Yarrowia lipolytica: one gene and its partners. The protein of the gene in region 3 binds, or shares a complex with, the protein of the main gene of each other region. Links are inferred from orthologs where the notes say so. Each region holds a gene or a part of one and is shown on either strand. Other genes may lie near its edges. The genes, in order: YALI1_A02561g, YALI1_B06487g and YALI1_E31529g.

What was found.
Region 1: YALI1_E31529g (region 3) and YALI1_A02561g share a complex: the UniProt entries of both Saccharomyces cerevisiae proteins name them as parts of the nuclear RNase P and RNase MRP complex. The link is inferred for Yarrowia lipolytica from reciprocal best matches to the Saccharomyces cerevisiae genes RPP1 and POP7.
Region 2: YALI1_E31529g (region 3) and YALI1_B06487g share a complex: the UniProt entries of both Saccharomyces cerevisiae proteins name them as parts of the nuclear RNase P and RNase MRP complex. The link is inferred for Yarrowia lipolytica from reciprocal best matches to the Saccharomyces cerevisiae genes RPP1 and POP5.

The regions. Positions count from the first base shown.
Region 1 is NC_090770.1:252,304-259,765, reverse strand, and holds YALI1_A02561g (uncharacterized protein), read left to right. Parts: upstream 1-3,573; coding exon 3,574-4,011; downstream 4,012-7,462. Other genes in the region: YALI1_A02615g (uncharacterized protein), read left to right, coding at 1-503; YALI1_A02568g (uncharacterized protein), read right to left, coding at 656-2,923; YALI1_A02552g (uncharacterized protein), read right to left, coding at 4,068-4,292, 4,349-4,519; YALI1_A02546g (uncharacterized protein), read left to right, coding at 5,076-7,462. UniProt on the Saccharomyces cerevisiae protein: Component of ribonuclease P, a protein complex that generates mature tRNA molecules by cleaving their 5'-ends. Also a component of RNase MRP, which cleaves pre-rRNA sequences.
Region 2 is NC_090771.1:646,196-653,702, forward strand, and holds YALI1_B06487g (uncharacterized protein), read right to left. Parts: upstream 2,584-7,507; coding exon 2,110-2,583; downstream 1-2,109. Other genes in the region: YALI1_B06489g (uncharacterized protein), read left to right, coding at 2,782-2,893, 3,329-4,590; YALI1_B06508g (uncharacterized protein), read left to right, coding at 4,614-4,651, 4,720-4,948; YALI1_B06514g (uncharacterized protein), read right to left, coding at 5,108-5,286, 5,330-5,414. UniProt on the Saccharomyces cerevisiae protein: Component of ribonuclease P, a protein complex that generates mature tRNA molecules by cleaving their 5'-ends. Also a component of RNase MRP, which cleaves pre-rRNA sequences.
Region 3 is NC_090774.1:3,148,998-3,156,760, reverse strand, and holds YALI1_E31529g (uncharacterized protein), read left to right. Parts: upstream 1-3,872; coding exon 3,873-4,757; downstream 4,758-7,763. Other genes in the region: YALI1_E31565g (uncharacterized protein), read right to left, coding at 1-263; YALI1_E31555g (uncharacterized protein), read left to right, coding at 1,148-1,183, 1,226-1,471; YALI1_E31540g (uncharacterized protein), read left to right, coding at 2,665-2,668, 2,721-2,968; YALI1_E31498g (uncharacterized protein), read right to left, coding at 5,300-6,430, 6,769-6,969. UniProt on the Saccharomyces cerevisiae protein: Component of ribonuclease P, a protein complex that generates mature tRNA molecules by cleaving their 5'-ends. Also a component of RNase MRP, which cleaves pre-rRNA sequences.

The DNA of each region.
Region 1 (7,462 bases), on a different chromosome or scaffold from region 3:
ATTTCGGTCTGGAAGTGGAGGGTATCTACCGAGCCAATGGAAACAACTCGCAGATCCAAGAAATCAAGCATCTGTTTGACACAGACCCGTCCAAGGTGGACTTGCTGCATCCTTCAGACAACCTCAACGACATTCATTCGGTGGCTTCTGCCCTAAAGCTTTACTTCCGAGAGCTGCCCGACTGTCTACTAACCAAGGAGTTGCATCAGGAGTTCATTGATGGCGCCATGATTGAAAACGCGATACAACGACGAGACGCGCTCCATGGAACCGTCAACAAGCTTCCCGACGCTAACTACACAACTTTGCGGTACCTGATTTTCCACCTGTACCGAATCCAGGAGCGCGAGGCAATCAACCGAATGTCGGTGGTAAACCTGGGCATTGTCTGGGGTCCTACGTTGATGAACACGGACTACGGCAATGTGGCCGAGATGGGCTTCCAGGGCCGAGTCATTGAGACTATTCTGGTGAACGCCTATGTCATTTTTGATGCGGAGTAGTCGCGAAGGATATTCACTCTATTATATAATGAATTAGGCTGGCTACAAGCAGTGTTACCAGTTATGAAATGTTGTCCCGTAGAAATGCAGCGTAAAAGCCGTATCCAACAAGCCTCACTGATGAGTTTTGTATAGCCATCGGCTTATAAATATTACGCTACATAATCGTAAACATCTCGTCCTTGGCGGGAAATGAAGTCGTCAGTAATGAGTTTACTGATATTCTTTTTCACGTCCGCCACCTCTAGAATGCCTCGTGATTTCGTTTTATCCAACACCTCCATCACGAGTTCTGCATGTCCCACAGTCCGCCTGGCTTTCATGATTCGGATAATGACAGCCTGGATCTCCATGTTCCTATCTCTCTCCAAAGTGTCCTGAATGGCTTTATGGGGTAACATGATATCGTCTGCTCCTCTGGCGACGGAAGGCACCTTTACTCGTCGTAGTTTCGAGCTAAAATTCCAGTTGAACTTGTACCGTGTCTCATCCCCTTCTTCTTTGATGAGAATCTTCACCTTCGGCGTCATGAGGGAGTGTAGAGACATGGTCAACTCTCTCTCAGAAATACCTGTAGCAGCCAGGAGGTCCGCGAAGGTTATGTGCGGTCTTTTCTTCTCATCCACAAACTGCATCATCACTAGCGCCTGATGCAGAGACACGTCAAACTCCTTGGTGTCTTCGTTGAGATGTGCTCTGATTGTACACGAGGACAGAGCGTGTTGCCAGGTGACTTTCTTCTTTGTGTTCTTGGGATCTTGGCTGAGAAACTTGGAAAAGTTGTCTAGCTGCGAGTACATTTGCGACGGTAGCCGGATGGGTGATGTGGAAGCCGGAAATTGCGGCCATGCGTTTTGACTCAACATGTTGACATTCAGGTCGAAGTTGCCGTACTTTGTGTATATCTCAGAGTCGCGATATTGCGCCATGGTAGCGGGCGAGTTGGTTCGCACATCCTTGAGCATTGTTTCCATGGATTCTGTCAACTCAGGTCCAAACTCGTCTCGTAGAATGGTCAACAGTTCGCTTTCACTTTCCAGACCAAGTGCTCGACCCACCAGCAGACGTTTACTGAGGTATCGCTTGTAGTAGACTTCAAACACGTCCTTCTCGGGGATGCACGAGAGCAGAAATGTGAGTGTTTTAACATCAGCCGTATTCTTCAAGCTGTCTCCTCCTTTAGCTCCTTTTCGTAGTAGCGAGTCGGAGAATTTGGCCAGCTGTTCAGATAGGTTTCTCTTACCCCTCATGCTGTTTCTGAACCCTGCCACCCAGTCCGGTGCCTTGTTGATGAGATCTGCGTCTGCCAGTGCCTCAGTGACTCGACTACTTTTGTGGTACGACTGCACGACAATGTCGATATTTGTAAAAGTGGGTCCCAGGACAGTTTCGATCCATTGGCGAAAGATGTCACCGATTCTGAGCTGCTGCTCAGAGCCCTCGAACGACAACAACGACAGCTGACGAATGTAAGGGAACATGAGTTCATCTTCAAACGACTCAGTCACTCCTCTGCGAATGAACTGGACATGCGGAACGATCATCTCTTCGGGAAGGGCAGACATGATCATTTCAACCCGAGATGAGTCCTTTATCAGCTCCTGAATGCGTCTATGCTCTGTGACTTGGGTATCAACCACCAGCTGAAGATATTGAACGGGGCTCATAATCTGCCACTTTTCAGCCTGCAACTTGAAGTAGAGCCGACTCTGCACCGCCACCGTTTTGATAATGCGCTGATATTGCTCACTGGACTCTCCACAGAGCTCTCGAACCACATTCTCGCACTGCTGAAGCAGCAATGCCGAATCAGAAGCTCCACGAACCAGATTGGCGAAGATAGAAGCGAAATCTGTCTCCACCCGCTGGCTAATAACTGCGTAAATCCTGTCTCGGACGAGATCCTGACATCTCCGGAGAATGTCGCTCCCCCCATTGCCACTCTGAAGCAGGAAACTGCGGTCCAGGTAGAAATAGATGAGTTGCAGCTTGAGAATGCGGCTTCTCCACATGTCGTACTCGTCCAGAAAAGCTGCGGTGATCGATTTGAGCCCGGCCTGGCTGATGGCTTCAATGTTCTCCAAACACTTTGTCGTCAGCGGCTCGATACACTCCTTGAACAGCGACTGCCAGCATTGCGCGCCCTTGCCATGCCGACAGAATGTCTCCACCATGCGATAGAGCTCCTCCTCGGGCACGGTCACTGCGCCTCCGTCCAGAGCAATGATTTTCGTCTGCGCCAGAAGAACCTGCTGCTGCTGCTCGAAAAAGCGCTGGATGGCCTCGCCGTCGTTGGAGGACTGCCGCCGCTCGACCTTGATGTTTTTCGCCGCGATTTTGCGCGTGTAGAACTTGCCCACGTGTCGTTCAATCCCTCGTTTCATTGATGTTAAAACCAAACTCTGTCCACCAAACTTCATGCCTGATAAGAGTTAGGTGATTGGGGTAGGGGTCCATATCACGAGTGTATAGCAGAGGTGTGTATTGATAGAAAATGTTTAATGAATAGCGAAGACAGGATCAAGGGGACATTTATATTAGTAAGCAGTTGGAATATACCACTAATACCGCAATGGAACTTCTTTGCTGGTTCTCATATCGTACAGTCCCAGTACATACAGTGCTCCCAGTACGGATCTACAGTGTGTTGTAGGTGCAGTATGAACTGTAGGTACTGTACCAGGCTAATAGCTCTCCGTTTTCACCTAACTACGAGTACTGTTCGTACTGTTCGCACTATTCAATACGGTAGCTACGATATTACGATATCATCATACCACGGTGGATCCTTTCCAAGCCGAAATTGCCCTATCAAAGTTCACCTGATTTTGGCTATTATAACTCGTCCGGATCGACTCTGCTATATCTCCACTGTGGGAACGAAAATCTCTCTTAAAAGAGGGTCATAACATTGCTTTCGGCTCATACATCTCCTTGACCTGTAAAAACCGCTTGTATATGTTGAACTGATGCAACTTCGCGCCTTGCTTGGGCCCTGCTCAGCTGACTAATACAATTATCGACACCTGCATAATCTGCTGAAATTTATAATTCAATCTCTGACACAACAATGGCACCAGCGGCACAAAAGCGAACTCGGGTGGAGGGAACGATAGTGAAGCATGCGCCGATCAGACTGGTTGGAAAGGCGTCGCAGGACTGTTTCTATGTGTCCAGCAAAATGGCCTTTGTGTCTGCTCTCAAGAAGGTGACCAAGCTGCTAAAACCCAGTCGCAAGCAGCCCAGGCGCCAGTACATTCGAATGATGGGCATGGGAAAGTGCGTGGACAAGACCATCAGCCTGGGGCTGCGCTTTCAGAAAGAGGGATACAAGGTGGATATCTTCACGGGCCAAACGACTCTGTTTGATGAGATCAAGGTGGCTCACGAGACGTCAGAGAAGATGGAGGTGGATGGAGACGACGAGTCGGACAGCGATGAGGAGATTGTCAAACAACAGCGGATAATCAGTACCATTGAGGTGCGCGTATATCAAAGGGATCAGTGATGGGACCACGGATCACTAGCGTTGTGTTGTTGAATAGGGATAGCATTAATAAATATTTATACAAGAGACTTGGCCGAGTCGTAGACCACACGAATCTCGTAAACGTCTCGGGCGTGTTTCTTTTCCACTTCGGGACTCTCCAGCAACTTGCTGTCGTCCACCACCTTGATACATTCCGCGTACTTTTTCAGGAAGTAAGCCCGTTCCGCAGCATGTCGTACAGCATGTCTGTCGAGTCGGTCCATGCCGTCGATGTTGCTGTAGTCTCTTTCCAGGATTGACTGTGTTAGTGGAAGGAACCAATGTAAGTGATTTGGTGAGCTGTGGAGGTACTCACTGTCAAGGTCTGAACGGGAGGCCCCGAGGTGTACAGATCCACCTGTCTCTGGTACTCCTCCGCGCTCTGTCCCTTTCGGACTTTGCCCTTGCCCTTTTTGGGCGCCTCGTTGAGCACCTTGCGGGGCTCTGTGTCGATGGAGATTGCCGCCAGTTCGTCTGTGAGCTCCATGTGTGTGAATTAGCTGAATTTCATTTCGAAAAAAAGATCACGATAGTCTGAAACTTTGTTGACGGGAGTGCAGAATTTTTGATGTAGGAAAAGTACCGTGCAGTACTTGAAGAAGGCTCTTTTGGGAGGGTAATTGGTTAGCTTTAGTTGGAGAAGAGAAATTAAGTCAACTAAATATTTGAAAAAAATATTTGAGTAGTAGGACACCAACGGGGCTGCAAAAGGTCGACAAAGAGGCAGTGTTGGAACTGTAACTGCAGCAAAGTACCCATTATCGTTTTTACAGTCGCATATTACAGTATGGAGTATATATATACGCAAATTAGGCGATTTTGGGAGCTTTTTTGAAGACATCATTATCCAGGGTCTTGTAGTTGCTTCTTTAGACGGTGGGGGGTGGTTGGACTTGCACGTTGCTGCGATTAGACGGCGCCGAGAGGTTCAATTACATCGCATGGGGCAAGTTGGGGGGCGGTCCAGGAACGAATTGAGACTTTTTTTTTCAGATTTATGTCAGTCATTTTGGCCCTTGGACTCGCACTCGTAGCGATCTACAATGCTCTTTCAGTTGGCAGTAAGATGCATACAGGAAAATAACCTCGTAATGCAGGGCCCCAAAAATCAAGTTCAAAACATCGACAGTGCTACCTCGTCACATTCCATCGACATGTCCAATTCGAACGCTGGTGACGGCGAAAAGCCCCAGAAAGGAGCGGCGCCGACCTTCGCATTTGGTCAGAAGCCGCAATTCAACTTTGGTGCCACTACCGCCAAGTCTGACGACATGAAGGAGGACTCAAACTCGGACAATACACACACAAAAACAACAGACACAGAGGCCAAACCGGCCTTCGGGAGCGGCGGATTCTCGTTCGCCAAACCCGCGGAGCCCAAGGATGGCGACTCCGACAAGAAGGACACAAAACCAAGCCTGTTTGACACCCCGGCCAAACCCAAGGCCTCTCTGTTCGATACACCCAAGGATTCGGTCCACAAGTCTAGCACCGACAAGCCTACGTTTGGAGGGTTCAATTTGGGAGATCAGTCCGACAAGCCGGCTTTCACTGGTTTTGGTGTGAAGAAGGAGGACAAGACTGAGGACAGTAAGGACAAGCCTTCTGGATTCTCATTTGGAACCAAGAAAGACAACGACAAGGGAAATGACAAGAAGGACGATGAGAAGCCCTCTCTGTTCAGTTCGTCCAGCATCGACAAGCCTGCTACTGGAGGATTCCCCAAGCTGTCGTCTGGTGGATTTGGCTCTCCCTCTGGATTTGGCACTTCTAGCTCTGGAATTGGATCTTCCTCTGGTGTTGCTACTGGCAGCTTCAGCTTTGCAGCCGAGAAGGAGAAGGAAAAGGGAAAGGACGATTCAAAGCCCACGTTGTCCTTTGGAGCATTCGGTTCCAAGCCCGAGGACAAGAAGGACGACAAGGAGACTAAGCCGGAGAAGGCCAAGAAAGATGATAAGCCCTCTGCTTTTTCGTTTGGTGTCAAGAATGAAGACAAGACGGCTCCGTCTTTGGATGTAAAGGAGGACAAAAAGGACGATAAGCCTGCTTTCTCATTTGGTGTCAAGAAGGAGGATGTAAAGAAGGACGAGAAGCCCGCGTTGTCATTCGGTACCAAGAAGGAGGGTGAAAAGCAGGACGAGAAGCCTGCTTTCTCATTTGGTGTCAAGAATGAGGATAAGAAGGACGGGAAGCCCGCGTTGTCGTTTGGAGCCAAAACAGAGGATAAGCCTTCTGCGTTCTCCTTCGGTGCTAAGAAGGAGGATGACAAGAAGGAGGACAAGCCTCCTCTGTCTTCTGGTGGTACTAAGAATGCGGACGAAAAGATGACTGACTCCAAACCAGCGCTTTCTTTTGGTGCCAATGCCCCCACTTCATCTTCTGCTCCCACTTTTAACCTGGGTGCTAAGAAGGACGACACAAAGACTGCCACCCCTTTCTCTCTCGGTGCCCAGAAGGACGAGACGAAGCCCACGGGTCCTTCCTTTTCTCTTCCTCCGAAGAAGGAGGACGACAAGCCTGCTACAGCGTCTTTCTCCTTTGGAGCTAAGAAGGAGGACGACAAACCTGCGGCCCCATTGTTCTCTATCGGAACCCAGACCGATAACAAGTCTGGCGGTTTCACTTTTGGATCCAAGGCCGACCCCAAGCCCGTCGTAAGCTTTTCTTCCAAGCCCGAAGACAAGACCGCCACTCCGTCGTTTAATCTTAATGCCAAGCCCGACGCTGGTAAGACAGCTGCTCCCTCTTTCAATCTTGATGCTAAGACGGAGACCAAACCGTTCAGTCTTGGTTCTGGCACAGGTAACAACACTACCTCTTCGCTATTTGGAGCCAAGTCGTCATCTGACGCCCCCAAGCCTTCACCTGGAGGATTTGGATCTGGACTTGGTGCCACCTCTTCTGCTGCGCCTCCTCTGAAGACTGGGGGATTCGGTTTCGGAGCCCCTTCCTCTCCTGCTCCTGCCTCCAAGACTGGCGGCTTTGGCTCCAGCGGACTTGGTGCTCCCAAGTCTAGCGACCGGGCCGGATCTGCCCCTCCAGGTTTCTCCACTGCATCTAACGCCCCCCAGAAGTCCAGTTTGTCGACACCCAATGCCTCTTTCACCACCCCTGGTCAACGAACTGCTCTCAAGCGAAACCTTCTTTTCACAGCCATCAACGATACTCTCTATTACAGCTATATCACTGGTGCTCAAACACGTGAGAAGATTGTCTCGGTTGGATTCGCGATCTCCAACATTCTGCTGAACCCCTCGGGCACTCTGCTGGCTGTTGTTGGTGAAAAGAACGTCTCTGTTGTTCGAATTAACGACTCCGACATCGCCAAATCTTCCGTTCAAGATGTTTCCAAGCACATTTCGGCCTCGTGTGTCCGTTATGTTCTGTGGAACCCTGTCGCAGACCCTGATGCTACTCTTGAGATTCTTAC
Region 2 (7,507 bases), on a different chromosome or scaffold from region 3:
TTCTCATGCTGGCTACATAGATGGAACTCTTACTGGATCTTGTGAGATGGACATCAAATAGAAGCCGACATGAAAGGGCTACACGAGCATTTGAGCTCCTCGACAGCTTCACTGTATCTTTTTACAGGTGGTGCTGCAACAGCGAGTTTCTGGTTCTGTATCAGACCCCCGAGAGTGAAGCTACACGGGCCCTATAACGACGGGTGGTCCAAATCAAGTGTGGTTGAAGTTGATACATGGGTCTTATCCTCAGCTCTGTCTGACTCGAAAACTTATCAAATCGGCATAGTATCACACACTATGCTGATGTCGGTCAAACTGATTCTTGGCCGACGAGGGAGCCTTTACCGGAGAAGTGTCGCCCAGGGAGTGCCACTATCAGCTATTTTACTGTGAACCATTGGTATCAGGAACTCTCCTTTCGTTCTGAGGTCTGTTCTGGCCCAATCCAGCAGCATCAACAAAACAGGCCAGAGATCAACTGCAGTACAGTAGTATAGGTTTAGGAAGGGCAGATGAGCTCAAGCAAGTCTCGGTTTTGTATATCTATTTGAGAGGTTGAGCAGTTGTATTTTTCTAATGATTCTTTACAGCTATATACCTAGTAAGCCGGGTTATTGGCGTTCAATAAATCATATACTTCTGAATCTGCGATGTGCGCACTTTTTTTCGCATTCTTCTCGAATAAAATGCTTCGACACCTTTTTTGAACATATTTCTGGTCCTATGGCACAGCGGTAGCGCGTGAGATTGCAAATCTTAAGGTCCCGAGTTCGAATCTCGGTGGGACCTCTTTTTTATGGAGAAGGGAGTTTCTCATGAACGCCAGGCTTTCATAAGCCTTTTACCATTGTTGGTTCAACTGGCGGTTTTTTTTTTTACTATAGATTCAAGAACACATTTACCGTATGGTGCAGCGCATATTTGTACATGCCTTCGCGTACCAGGACACCAGGATGTGATGCTCTGTAAACAGTCAAAGACAGCTCACAATTATCCAGATTATCCAGATAGCCAATTGACCATTGCAATTGTCTTGTTTTTTCAGCTCTTGGACCTCGCACAAGTGTCGAACCCCTACGGTAAGCCTGGTGGTGGTACTTGGTCACCAGTGCAGTTGAGACAGACAGATACTTGTATATTACAGATATGACCGGAACCTGAACTTTTTCCGGATACTTCTTTCAGATACTCTTTCAGATACTCTTTCAGATACTCTTTCAGATACTCTTTCAGATACCTTTTTTCAGATCGTACAATACCCTCCTTCTCATTGTGTTACTGCTCAGCTGGTTGAGCAACGGATACCATACGGTACTGACACAGCAAGGCGCAAATCCATGAAGTGATACGGTCAAGGGCTCTCCTCATCTCTGGGGCAGCTTCCAACTTGCAGATATCTAAAGACAACCAGACTCTAGAGACAACTTCCCCAGACTCTAGAGACAAGTCCTCTCCTGGCTCTTTACCCTTCACCCGGTTTCTACAACGTGTGTTCCGTCGCTGAATCTAGTATTGAGAGTCGGTGACGTATCTGGGGTCTATTTCTCACTTTCGCTCGAGAAGAATACAACTACTGTAGGCGGCAAAAGTTCCCCAACGCTAGCCTTGGGGAGAGAGAGCCTCAGCTGGTCTTCTCGAACTAACTGGACTCCAGATTGAAGGAAGAGCCCAGACTGAGTACAGAGTTCTTCTTTGCTCCAGTCATGGTCATGACTGAAGATAGAGGATCATCTGTAAACCGACATTCGGGAGGTCGTACTGCAACTGTGGTTAGAATGGTATGCGAGACTTGGTTCACCTCATATACAATGCTCGTGAAGAATAAATAAATCCTTTAGTCTATGCAGCCTACGGTCCATCATATCCTGATGAAACATGCTTCCAATGCCCGATCTCAGAAGAAGCACATCGATATCCTTTGACTAAAAGTCCAATCGACAAACTCACTCTTCACCAACAGCCAAAGTGCTGGTACCAGTAATGCTGCGTGAACTGGTCCGTTGGTGCAGATCGTCCATCCATACAGGCTACTCCACGAACCCACTCCCTCACCAAACCTCTAGTCGGCTTCTGGCGCAAACTGGTTCACCCGAAACGCTGTGTTCGTTACTCCTCATCCGACATGTCCACTTTCTCCTCCTTCACGGCCAGGCCACCCCTTTGCAGATACCGCACAATCTGTTGATTGCGTTCAATCGCCGCTATCTCGCACTTTTTGATGGTGGCACTCACGTGCACCACGTTGATCACCACGGGCGTGTTATCAATGTCGGTGATGTTGGTGAGCGCAGCCCAGAACTCACGCAAGAACTGCCGCCCAACCCGCACTATGCCCGTCGACGTTACCGGTGAAAAGTACTTGACATTGAGCGTTGTCATGATCGAGCCCGCGCCCAAATCGCCGTGCAACTCCTCCATTTCGTCCTTGAATATCTGCGTCAGGTTGCGGGCGTTGACCACAGAGGCGTCGGACGTTCTGTGGATCTTGAGGAACCGCGTTTTGGCATCCTCCGACGTCGACAGAGTGTCTGTGGGGTAGACTATTTGGAAAAGCAGATATCGCGACTTGAGTCGTACCATTGTGTTGCAGAAAAGCAGTGCGAAAAACCGAATGTTGAAATTTCAAAAATAAAAATAAAAAAATGCCAAATCTTAACTCCAAAAAGTATAAGGCTGCATAATCTAGATCCCAGACGGAAAAAAACCAACCTCGGAACCAACGTCGAAACCAGGACACAAAAGAAGCCAGACCGGTTGAGCTTGCCCACATACGACTCTATGGCGAAAAAGAAGAGAACTGTTGGCATCTCCGGCGTGGCGGCATTTCTAAACAGCGCCAGAACAGAGGAGGTGAAGGTGGAGTCTCATCGATTCAAACGACAGAAGATTGGTGAGTATGGGGTGGAGTTTAGGGGGATTGAGGTGGTCACGTCACATGCCAGCTAGCACTATTGTCGCGGGTTAGTCTTGCTGAGAGCTGGTTTGCAATGTCTGCACTGCGACATTGAAGTGGATCGCGTCGCATGATGGCGTTATGAATGAGTAGGGGTTTCCTCTGTTTTGTTTGCAGTTGGATCTTTCTCGTTGTAAGTTGATATTCCTCGCGCCTTGATACCTGTATCCGTCCGAGTGAGTATCCAATTCGAGGTGACATTATGCAGTAAGACCGCAGGATGATGTCCCGTGTGTATAGTCCATTAGACGTCTGGCTTGTGCCTTGCCATGAGATGACGGTTGCCATGTGGTTTATCGATTGAGCTTTGCTTCGGACTTAACTGTGGGTTTGTTTCTCATGTCAGAGTCAGTTCAATCAAGACTAACACAGAATTTGCTCCAACCGCAGGCGCCGACAAGACTGAGTCTTCAGACTCAGATGGCCCTGAGGAGGACTCCATGCATGCTCCTCCGCGGGGTGGTGTTGAGGTGGGGGGTAGTAGTGGAGGTAGTGACTCGGGCGCTGGAGCTGATTCTGGCTGTGAAGCTCACTCTGATTCTGGCTCCGGAGCTGACTCTGGCTCTGAAGCTGACTCTTCCTCTTCCTCTTCCTCTTCATCTGATTCATCTTCTGACAGCGAGTCTAAGACTGAAGCTGCAACAGAAACAGAAGATTCCACCATCTATCATACGACTCTTCCCCCAGCTCTTCCTGAAGAGATTGAATCTGGTTCTGGTTCTGGTTCTGAAGCTGCCGAACCTGAGTACATCAAAGAGCATCCCCGTTCTGCAACTGCCGGTTACACCCGTCATACACCCTACTGGCCCGACTACTCTACGCTTCCCAAGTCACTATCCAACTACTACAACCAGCGACATTTTTTGTTCTCCAAGTTCGACGAAGGAGTGCTCCTCAACAACGCCCAATGGTTCAGTACGACCCCCGAACTGGTGGCCGAGCAGGTAGCCCAGCATTTGTGGAGCCGGTTTCCTGATCCCAATCTCGTGGTGGTGGATGCATTTGGAGGCGCTGGCGGAAACGCCATTCAGCTGGCCCATTACTATGACCACGTTATTTGCATCGACATTGAGCCCGAAAGTATCACGTGTGCAAAACAGAACGCTTGGGTCTATGGTGTTTCGGAGAAGATTCAGTTTGTGGTAGGAGACTGCCTGGAGGTTCTGGCTCGTCCCGAGTTCCAGTCCATCACGGATATCATTTTTGGAAGCCCGCCTTGGGGAGGGCCTAGCTACAAATCACATGGAGGGAAATTTGATCTGTTCGTCATGGAGCCTCTGGAGTTGCGAACAATCCATGACGCGTTCTTCAAGGTCACAGACAATGTGTGTTACTTCCTGCCAAAGAACAGTGACTTGGAACAACTCCAACACGTCTGTGGAGCCATTACCGCGCTGGTGGATGTCAATACCGGCAAGAACCCCTTTGCTTCACTCTGGCCTGTGCAACAACAATGGGCCAAAACGGTATGTCGAGAAAAGCTGGGGCTGGAGGTAGCCCTGAAGCAGACTCGAGCGGGGGATGATGTCAAGGAGGAGGATCTGGGAAAGAGTAACGAGGGAGTCACATTGACTTACAACTACATCAACGGGAGGTTGAAGGGATGCATGGTTTACTTGGGGGGACTTGCATAGACGGCGATGGAGCAGACACAGTGATGGAGCATACACAGTTGGAGCATAGACATAGATATGAGTGGAGAATAATTTGATTTCAGACATTAATTGTCTCTTGGAAAGATTGTGCTTCCCACATCCCTAAAGTTCCTTCTTACTGTATCTATTCACAGACCCCATCCCCTACCAGTGGTCGTGGTTAGGTCTCCAACGAGGCCATTACGCCGGTCACCAGGTCTCCACGAAGGTCAATGATCATGTCATGTCGTCTACAACTCCCACTCAGGAGCATCCGTCGCGTCGAGCTCCTAATTGGGACCATGGGGCACTCTCAGGTGGGCAACGGGTGACGATACTCCTTGTCAAGTTTGTCTAGAATGTGGGTTAGTTTGGATTTGTCAGCTGGAATCTCTCTCTACTAAGCCAAGGAGATATGATATTCAAATGGAGTCTTTTAAAAGACTAGAAGTCTCACGTAAGAAATTCGTCTGTCTTTCTCTTCTCTACACGACGAACATGACTTCTATGGTTCAGTTCAGTTTCTGCAGTATCTGAGACGGATCTCACAAACTGGATCCTGACAGAGCAATCGCAAGAAGCAATAGCAAGAGCCAATGGCAACAAGTATGCCAGTTAATTCCACCATGTCTGGCTGGTTATTCTGGTCTCTGTTAAAAGGGTCATAATAACGGCTCATAAAGTCGATAGAACCCTCTCCACTCTCTACTCTCTACTCCATTTTCAACTCTTTTTCAACGTCGAGCCTGCCAATCAGGGAGATGTCCTGGATCCATCACTATAGACGACAAGAACTGCTGTATAACATCAAGCACTGTTCCCATAATGATCAAACTCCCTCGAGAATACGGCTACTTCGAGCATGCCACATTCTCTAGATTACGACACCCTAAGAATACTGCACTGATTCCTTCCAGTCAACTCCAACGACACCGTTGACTGCGAATCTTTCCAAACCATTTCTTTCGGGTTGGAGAGACATTGTTCCCCTCCACTCGAGTGGCCTAATCTTTTGGCCCCCCTCACTTCTCCAAGAGTGTGAACTTCTACGGAATCCCTCGACTGGACAGTGGAGTTGTGTATCCTTCATTGATCACTTGCAGCACTATTTTCTGTCGCTGGACATACGTTGAGTGAGTGAATTGTTTTTGGACGTCTCCAGAAACCTGTTACTCGTGATATTGATATTGTACTTCAACTGATCCGGTCGTACATTCAGAATTAGTTCTCCTGATACCACTACAACAGGACTCAAATGATGCTTAGAACAAGCGGAGTTTGGTTATTCAGTTCCCATTCCGATAGTACTGATAATTCCCGACTACCGAGCAACCCTTCGCTTGCAAACATCACGTGGAGCCCACTTGCTCCACTCTCACATTGAAATCCTAATCGCCGAACCCCTAACTCCGGTATCTCCGAACCCAGTTTTTCGGCTCATATTCACGAATAATGCATCCCTTTCATAAACACTGCTATATAATAGCATTTTATTATAGACGGCAAGAGCGACCTAACAACTGTACTGCATCGGGAGCCAGTAACAGACAATCGTATCCACATGTAGTATCAACACACGAAACCTGTCCTTCCGCCCTTTCCGGCTTTCCGCTTTCCGCTTTCCGTTTTCCGCTTTCCGCCCCTAACATGTGCCAACGGTTCTGTAGGATACCCCATGTGAAGACAGGTACTCGTACTCGACGTCTGCAGACGAGCTCTGTCGGTCTATCGGCTCTGGGTCTGCCTTGTCGCATGCATGCCTGTATGAAACTGTATATGTGGGTTTCAGACGTCGGGAGTTTTCGGTACAGTTGAGTATTTGCCACTGTAGGGCTCTGTAAAGGGGCTGTGGACAGCTGCGCCAGTTTCGCCCGAAAATATACACTGTCTGAACAGATTTAGACTGCCAGAGAGGTAAGCGAGAGAGTAGGTTGGAGCTTAGCGAAATTAGAGTGTGGGGGTCGAAGGGTCGGGGACGATTCTAGGGGGGGTTTGGGGGAGTTTGGAGGAGGTTTTGGGGAGTTCAAAGTTGATAAAGGTGGTTTAGAGAGTGCGTAGATTTGATTTTCTCTTGCCGTTTCCGTTTTGCACGTTTTCTTCCCATTCTACGTCCCTTGACAAAAGTCTACACGTGCAGGACCACCACCATGGGCCTCGGCAACTCTACAGTCTCTCTCTCTCTCCAGTTGCCTCTCAGAGGTGCAGTGTCGATCAGGTCGAGTGCCGAATCAACTGTGGGAAGAAGGAATATAAAGAGATTGTGGTTGGACTGGCTAGATAGGGTTTCGGCAGCTGCAAACGTGACACCAAGAGTCTGGAGAGTGAGACTAATGGACACAGCAAAAGGTGGTGGACAAGAGAGAGTGAGAGCAAGCACTGTTGGTGCGTGATTCGACGGCTTCGGCTCGAGAGGACAGAAGAAAGATCCGGCCTAACCAAATGGCTGCAGCCGATGAATCTACCAATACCGTGCTCTGACTTTCAGCTGCCAATAGCCTTGTTCATACCGCATGGTCTAGTCATTATCGTACTCAGAAACTCTGCAAGTGCAGTAGCGAGGATCTACGGAGATCGCCAAGACACAGTTGAGACAATACGATAATGTAGTGTCGATGCGCGAACTCGTCCAGGGCAGGATTAGCCGGGTTGACGAGCCAGGATTGACGAGCCGAGGTTTATAGGACCAAGGACACCAAGAACACCAAGAACATGTATAGGTTATGACCTCATTATGGTGCAATCAGACCGGTGAGCATCTTTTGACTGATGTCTGATGTTGTCCTGCACCCATGTTCATCAGATCAATCTACACGGAGTGGCAAGAGACTTCGTCGGTCGAAGAGTGAGACTGAGAGACGGGGAAGTGGTGACTAATGGTGACAAGGGTGACTAAAAGCCTCAAGCTTCCATATCTGAA
Region 3 (7,763 bases):
TCGATGACCAGGATGTTGTGCAGGCCCTCTTGGCCAAAGTAGTAGACGTTGGGGATGCCTACACAGCCGGCCAGATGCTTGTATGTTCTGTACTCGTCTCGGAGCTGGGGGGCTTCGGACTTTCGGGGCTCGAACTTGATGGCCACCTGCTGAGTATTAAGCAGGTTGGCTCCTTCGAAGATGACGCCGAATGATCCTTCTCCGATCTTCTTGCCCACTCGGTAGTGGACGCCCACCACGTTGGATGATTGATGGTGAGACATGTTGATGTTGGTGGTGGATTAGCGATTAGCGGGTTTGAGCAACAAAGCTGGTAGCTGCGTTTTTGTAGCCGTGATTAATGTGTTTGTGTGTGCTTGTGAAGAGGTGGATGCAGTGACTTGTCGAAAAGGTCGTTACGTCGAGTCGTTACGTCGAGAGTGTCGTGCCGAGGTCGGTGAGGGCGCCAGATGGGAAGGTACAAATAGACGGCTGCTGCCAACGGGGACCGAGTGCTCGCTCAGACTGAGAGGTGTGTCGTCGAGGTGACAGACTGGGGGGTGGTGGGGGCTAGGGGAAAAAAGGGAGCAGCCTTGGAGAGGGAAGGGGATGGCAGTAGAGCGATTGGGAGTGAGTGTGAAAGTGTAAAATTGGGAGGGAGAAAAAGAGAAAAAGCCAAAGCGGAGGGCCAAGCACAAGTTAAAAACCCAATTTCGGCCGACTCAACAGTGGTGGGAAAATGTCTCGTGTGGGGTGCAACAGGTTCGACGACAAGACGGATCGTGATGTGTAGGAAGGAGAGAGGAAAAGAATGGTGTTTTGGGGGAAAGTCAAGTCACACCGTCGGCTAGTGTTGATTCCACTGTATTATTCGTACTATTACGGCCGCACACAGACCTATCTAACACCATCTTTTGCCTGCCACTAGCGTAAACAAACAAGCCGCAATAAGGACACCTTTACACAATGATCATACATGGTCAGGCAACCTGGGCCACACATATGAGCATACACGAAACAACCCCAAACCGCTCCCCAAGAGGTAATTAATGTGTGACTAGATCGGAAGAGCGGTTCAGCACCCCCCCCCCCCCCCCCCTCGTACAAGTGTAACTAACATACGATGTCCTGTTATTTGCTCATTGGTTGCCAGGCAGCCTCATAATAAATGTGTCTCTCTTCAGTTGCTGTGTGGAGAGGCACAGTAATTAGATCTACCGAGGTTTGAAGTACTTGTACTTACGAGTTCTCCCATAACGATGGCGTATCAACAGTACATGCTTGGTACCAGGCACTCGTTCTATCCATATCCGTCACCAACATCCACCTGTGTATTGTATATCCTCCCCTCCAGCCCATAATTGTCATCCCACCCACATCACTCCTCCTGACTGATTCACGCACAGTATGCAACGGCAAGTGTACACAAACTGTAAAGGTCGGTTGCGCGGCTGGAAAAGGGGTCGCACGTGACTTGATGAGGTGTGTATGAGTGTGTGTCTGTTTGTCTGTCTGGTTGTCACGTCGTTCGTGTTTTTCGGTCTCTTTTGCATCCCTTTTTTTCCCCCTCTTTTTTCCTTCAACTACTTGTATTTCTGCTTCAAAAAATACCCTCTCTTACCCCACTGTTTGCACTGTACTGAGGTCATGTACAGTCGACGTGTGCTGTACAGGGCTAGGCCTGACATGCGGGCTACCGATAAGTGTATTACTGGTAGTCTTGTAACAGGTATACTGTGAGCTACGGAACCGAGCTATTCTATTGTATCTGTTCTGGTGTTACATAAATCTGATATTTGTCAGACTCCGCAATATTCACAGTATTTGTGCTCTTTCTTGGCCTTCTACTGCCATACATGCTTGTCTGTCACTCTGATGTTCTTGTCTTCTCGTGGCTGAACTCTAAGGTGCAGGGTGACAGATACGTACAACAAGTACAAGTACGCAACAGCACAATACTATTACCGTAAGTATTGCGAAACTCATACGTACAGACCGATAGGAGTGTATTCTGTACTTTTATCTGTACTTGGATTCCAGCACGGAATCCTGCTATCAACTAATAGACTTCTCTGATTGGACACGATCCATAGGAGGCTGTGGCTATGCACTACTATGCTCCTGGCTTGAATTAGCCATGCTTCCCAAACGTGACTCAATCAAGCTCTGGACGCCAAACTTGGGCGAGAAAAAAAAGCCGATCCAGGAGCATGCCGGGGGCTGTCGGGAAAGCAAATAGGGTGCAATACGACGAACTGGTAAGGAGCACTTGGAGAGGCAGATTCTGGAGTACTGAATCGTTACGTCGGAAAAGCAGTTGTCGTTTGTTTCTAATTACAAGTACCGGTACACACGCGTTGACAAGTGATAGGCACCTCGACTACAAGCAGTGTAGCTCGCATCCACCCTGATATGTAACGTTGATACGCGAATCAGTGGAGCCCAACAGAGTTGACTTGTGCCCTGTACTCGTACATCCTGTAACGTTGCACTAGAATTTCAGGCGCTGAATCGGTACATACATACGCGACTCTTCTAGATTTATTTTTTGACGAGATATTTTTAGATCACCGTTTTGTTCCTCTCATTTCTGGTTTCAGCTTTTTTATTCATATCAGCCAGTATTTTATTATAAGACTGGTCGCTCCACCCCTGCCTGACTTGACGCCGTCTTGCCGCCGAAGAATGTGTCACTGAAACAGGAGAAGTGATGGGTGTCAGATAGGAGGGGAATACAAGAGTGAGTGGGAAGATCGTGGTGTGGCCATGCACTGGTTCAGTGGGTGATTGTCTGGTATATATGCGAGGACTCAAGAGTGAATATATAGAGAGCTATTGCAGCCAGGCAGTCGGTCTAGAAGTTGTTCAGAAGCCAACCACCTCGAAGTATAGAAAGGAGGTGCAGGGACGCTTTGATCAACTGCTCCAGCTCAGAAGAGAAAATTGGTTTGATTTGAAGAAATATTCCTGTTGGAGATATAAGATCTAATGCTGAGTCCACTCTACACCTTTACGTCAAAGTTATCGCAACTATCCAGTCTTCCTATCTCTGATTCCTCTCCTGATTCCTCTCCTGATTCCTCTCCTACAAGTCCTCATATAATAAAGAATCTGAGCTTATGTTTCCAGAATGCTTCAAGAAAGACATACTCAGAGTATCGAACATAAAAGTCTCTTCTTTCCACTCGTACTGAACTCCACAGCTTTGAATATGACATGTCTGCCCCACACACACACACCTCGAGCCCTGTACTTGTATTAAACCACCAACCCGAACGGCAAGACATGCTACGAAGGTGGAGAGTTTTTAGCTGGGATTCATTCAACTGTACATCATCTTCAAGTTTATGACTCGTTGTGTACAACCTTCTGACTTTCGAGGCTTAGAGACTTTGTCCATCATGAGTCTACACCAAGGTAGAACATAGCACAGGTACCAACTTGTAACAATTCTTCTTCCCTACTCTTATTTAGAGCTTAGTGAAGTTCTCTCAGGGCTATAGATCCTATCTTCGCTTATAGAAAAACCAGCTTCCCAAACGCGTTCCACTCTAGCACACCACAGACGTCCTTCAGAGACCACATTCTTCGTTATGGTTGATTTCTAACCAACACAGTTACTGTGCTTCCAATACTGAGTCCATTAAGTGCTTTATTTCAAGCTCGCGCAACACACCCATGCCCTCCAAATTTCTCACCAGCATTCTCATTCACAATACTCAACTAAACTCCCAAGCATCTTTTAGCTCTATACTTACCAGTGCCTTCTTTCATCTAAACCGCACACACAGCAAGTCCTATCTCTGGGATCACCAATCAACATCGAAGTAAGTCAATGAGATTATCAGCCTATATCTTCGCTGCAAATCAGTCCCTCCATTTCCCCTACCTCCATGACCTTCAAACATTTGATGCTGCACCTCCCATGCACCCAAAACTTAGTATGCAATATTTTGAACATAAGCCTCTCTACCTTCCACTATCCTCAAGTACAACCCGAAATGATCGATCTGAACATCCCGTGGCCTGTATCTGGCCCCAATGCCGCGTCGCCGTCCGATAGAGCCAAAATATCCTCCGCCAAGGCATCCATTTTGTTTCTACAGGAGCTGGGGTACAAGGCCGTGGCTCTCAACTGCATCTACCAGGGAAAGATTCCCGCTACTCTCAAATGTCCCGTCCCCGACGAAATCCACAAAGAGTTCCCGGATATACGCATCTACACGCGAGTGACCATTGTTGCCGAGGACCTCAACCACAGCTTCAACCTTCCCAACCTATACCAGCAGTTTGATATTGTGGCCATCAGACCCATGTCGGAAAAAATGCTCCAGGCCGCCTGTACCAATCTGGATGTCGACATTGTGTCGATGGACATGACTCGCCGTCTGCCATGCATTCCGAAACACAAGACCATCGGAGCTGCTACTGAAAGAGGCGTCAAAATCGAGGTTGTTTATGCACCGGGTTTGTCCAGTGATCCCCTGGCCAGAAAAACATCGATTGCAAACAACTCGTTGGTAGTGAGAGCAGCCCGGTGTCGAGGACTTGTCATTTCAAGCGAATCTCTGTCCAGCCTGAGTCTCAGGGGCCCTTTTGATATCATGAACTTGAGCTACATCTGGGGTCTGAACTCGGCTAGAGCTAGAGAAGCTGTGAGCAAGAACCCAGAGGCGGTCATTCGAAACGGACTGCTCAGAAAGAAGAGTTATAAGCAGGTGGTGATTGCAGAGCCGGAGGAGGTGAGAGAGCCGTTGAGGAAGAAACAGAAGGTCTAAAGCATGCACTCATGAGTGTAGTAGGCTGTTTTGCCGCTGCTAAAATGAACACATCTCTTGTAGCTGGCGTCACATGCAGACAGCATCATCTAGCTACAGGTATTGGGTATTCATATTTGATCCTGAAACTGGGCGAAGACTAATGAAAAAAGGAACATTCCCACACCAAACTGCCAGGAAAGACAGATAATGCATCACAGAAGGGGAAGAACATTAACGACATAGAATTATGATTCATTTATATTATATACTGTACATACTACAAGTAGGTGAAGTAATAGGACTACAGTCTGGTAGGACACATTGAGGTATGTTACAACTACAACTTCTGAATATCGCAGGATGTCCGTCACAGTTTACTCCAGATGTAGACGCATTCTTATACGACCGTCACTTACAACATCTTTAATATACATACCAATGCCCTTGGGGGACTGCACCGGATCAGATTTTCTCATATTTTCATTATTTTGGGTATGAACCTCCTGCAAGTTTTTGTGAGATGTCACATACCCCTTCTATAGTTGAACGTCTATTTTTGTCTAGTTGGTCTTGTTGTCCACGGGTCGCAGAGACAGACATCGGATGCCAAGGTAGGAACAGATGACATTGATGGTGTTAACAGCCCAGGTCAAAAAGTTCGCGGCAGCGTAGACAAAGAAGCCCCACAGATACAGAGTCTCGAAGTGGGGATTGTCCTGGGGCAGTAGACCCAGGGCAGGGAGCAGGTAGAACAGAACGGTGGCTCCCAGAAGAGGAATCAGGGTGGAGTTCCACAGAGGGAACTCGAGCTTGGTGAGGTGGTTGAGAATCACACCGGTGGTCAGCCGGCCAAAGACCCACGAGGCGGTCAGTCCAAATAGCACAAGGTGGTTGTCAACCAGCACAGTGGAATAAGGACTCTGCAGCCACACGTAGGCAGCTCCTCCGGCCACGCCAAAGGGCAGGAGGCCCACCAGAGCCTCGGAGAAAGGCACATCGTCCTCCTTGCAGGCCCAATAGACGTTCCACACGCAGAAAGGCACGTGCAGCACCACGAGGGTGAACATGACGACCCAGACCCAGAACTCGTTGAGCTTGAGGTACTCGGGAACCATGAAGGAGAGGAAGGGGAGCACCTCAACGGCATCCTCCTTCCAGATGTCGGTGCCCATGAAGCCGGAGATTAGCATGGTAGACAGGGCCACCACTAGCCCTTCGGTGGGGCCGTTAACAACTCCCAGGTAAAGAGTGTGGGTGTAGTAAGTCTCCCAGGTAGAAAAGTACATACCAATACAGGTGGACAGAACCATGAGGCCTCCGTAGGAGGTGGAACCAAGGGCCACAGCACCGCAGTTGACAATTCCGCCGTAGGTGCAGTTGAGGGAGTCGATTCCGTGGTCAAACAGCTCTCCCAGAGGAGAGGAAGAGCCAGTTCGACGGGCCTGCTTGCCGTCAATATTGTCCATGGTCTGGTAGAAGAAGAGCGAAAAGGCAGAGAAGAAGTAGATCCAGGAGGGACCGTCGCCGGTGAGCTCGGGGGTGTACCAGACGGTGAAGAAGATTGACAGGAGCATGCCGGAGACACCGATGAGAGTGATGGCGTTGGGAGCCAGCCAATCAGGCATGAAGGTTGCTGCGTAAGTCCACCATGGGTTCAGGATGTACTTAGACAGGTAGGATTTATCGACGCTCTGAGTTAGGGGGTTATAAGAAGATAGACGTGTCGATATCGCGGCGACAGTGTATATGTAGCACAGTGGTTGCGTTGTTCGGTTTCAGGCACTGAACGTGTCATTTTGTGATGACAGTTAAATCAAGTATGACACGGAGTGTGTGAATTGGTCAAGACGACACATCGAATGCCATACTGGTCATGAGGTCGCGTGAGAGACTGATGGGTTCATCTCTTACACGTCGATTGTGTCCCTGTTGCAGACCCTGCTGCTGCTCCGCCCCTGCTTCTGTCCTTGCTTCCATGGCTGTTGTCACATTGCTGTCACCGTGTGACCGCCAAACTGGTGATACTCACTCTGTACTGGTACGACTTTAGATGCACTAGACTGTCGGGGTTGATGTGGTGGAATCCTGGCATTAGTAGTGTGGAGGGGATTAGGGTCGGGAGAAAAGTTGGTTGATGGCCCATGGCACGGCTGAGCTGATGAGCATAGCATGTGTTTGTACCCAGCCCAACCCAACCGCAAGTCCCAATCATAGAGGGGCTTTTACCCATGCCTTTAGCACGAGCTACCCACAAGTGCCGTGAGCTAGTGGCCGTTACACAGAGAGCATGGAACGAGACACGGAATGCAAACACCCTGCTGTCTGGCAACCTGCCTGTCTGTGAAGCAACACACGCCTGCGCAACAACGCCAACGGCCAATTTCACTTGACCAACTCAAGTTCACAACGTCACTCACTCGAAAAATTTCGCTGCTGGGGCATCTGCGACTCGGGATCTTGACTGAGCATGTTGAAAGAAACCAAAGACGGTGCTTCAAACTCTCCACAAAAGTATCTTGAACTCTGCTGGCTACGTACCAAGGGGGAGGGAAGAGTCAGACAAGGTTGATACAGCAGAGTTGGGACAACAAACACCTTCAAACAAAGTTATCACGTGGTGTGTTAAGGTGTACCTGTGATATTTTTGCTTTCGGTGGGAGCATATACCTGTTCCGTATTTCATTGCTGACTATTCGTTCTGCCTGCTAAAACCACGTAATGCACTTCCATACTAAGACGTACAGTAGGTTACCATTATTAACACTGGTACGTGTCACCGTTGGGAATGTTAGGAAGCTTAATGAGATGATGCCTCTGTTTAGGTTCTGTTGGGTAAATACTGGACCTTGGAATAACAGCTATTCGGTGTGACGAGTTGAGAAAATTATGAAATTTGTTGTATCCTCGTGTCTTGAGCATCATATTTATATCAACATGTCTATACAAAAAGATGTTTTTTATGTCCTTTAAATGCCCGTCCTGATTTAATGCTTTTTAGCGACGTCATACAGTAATATGTAATCA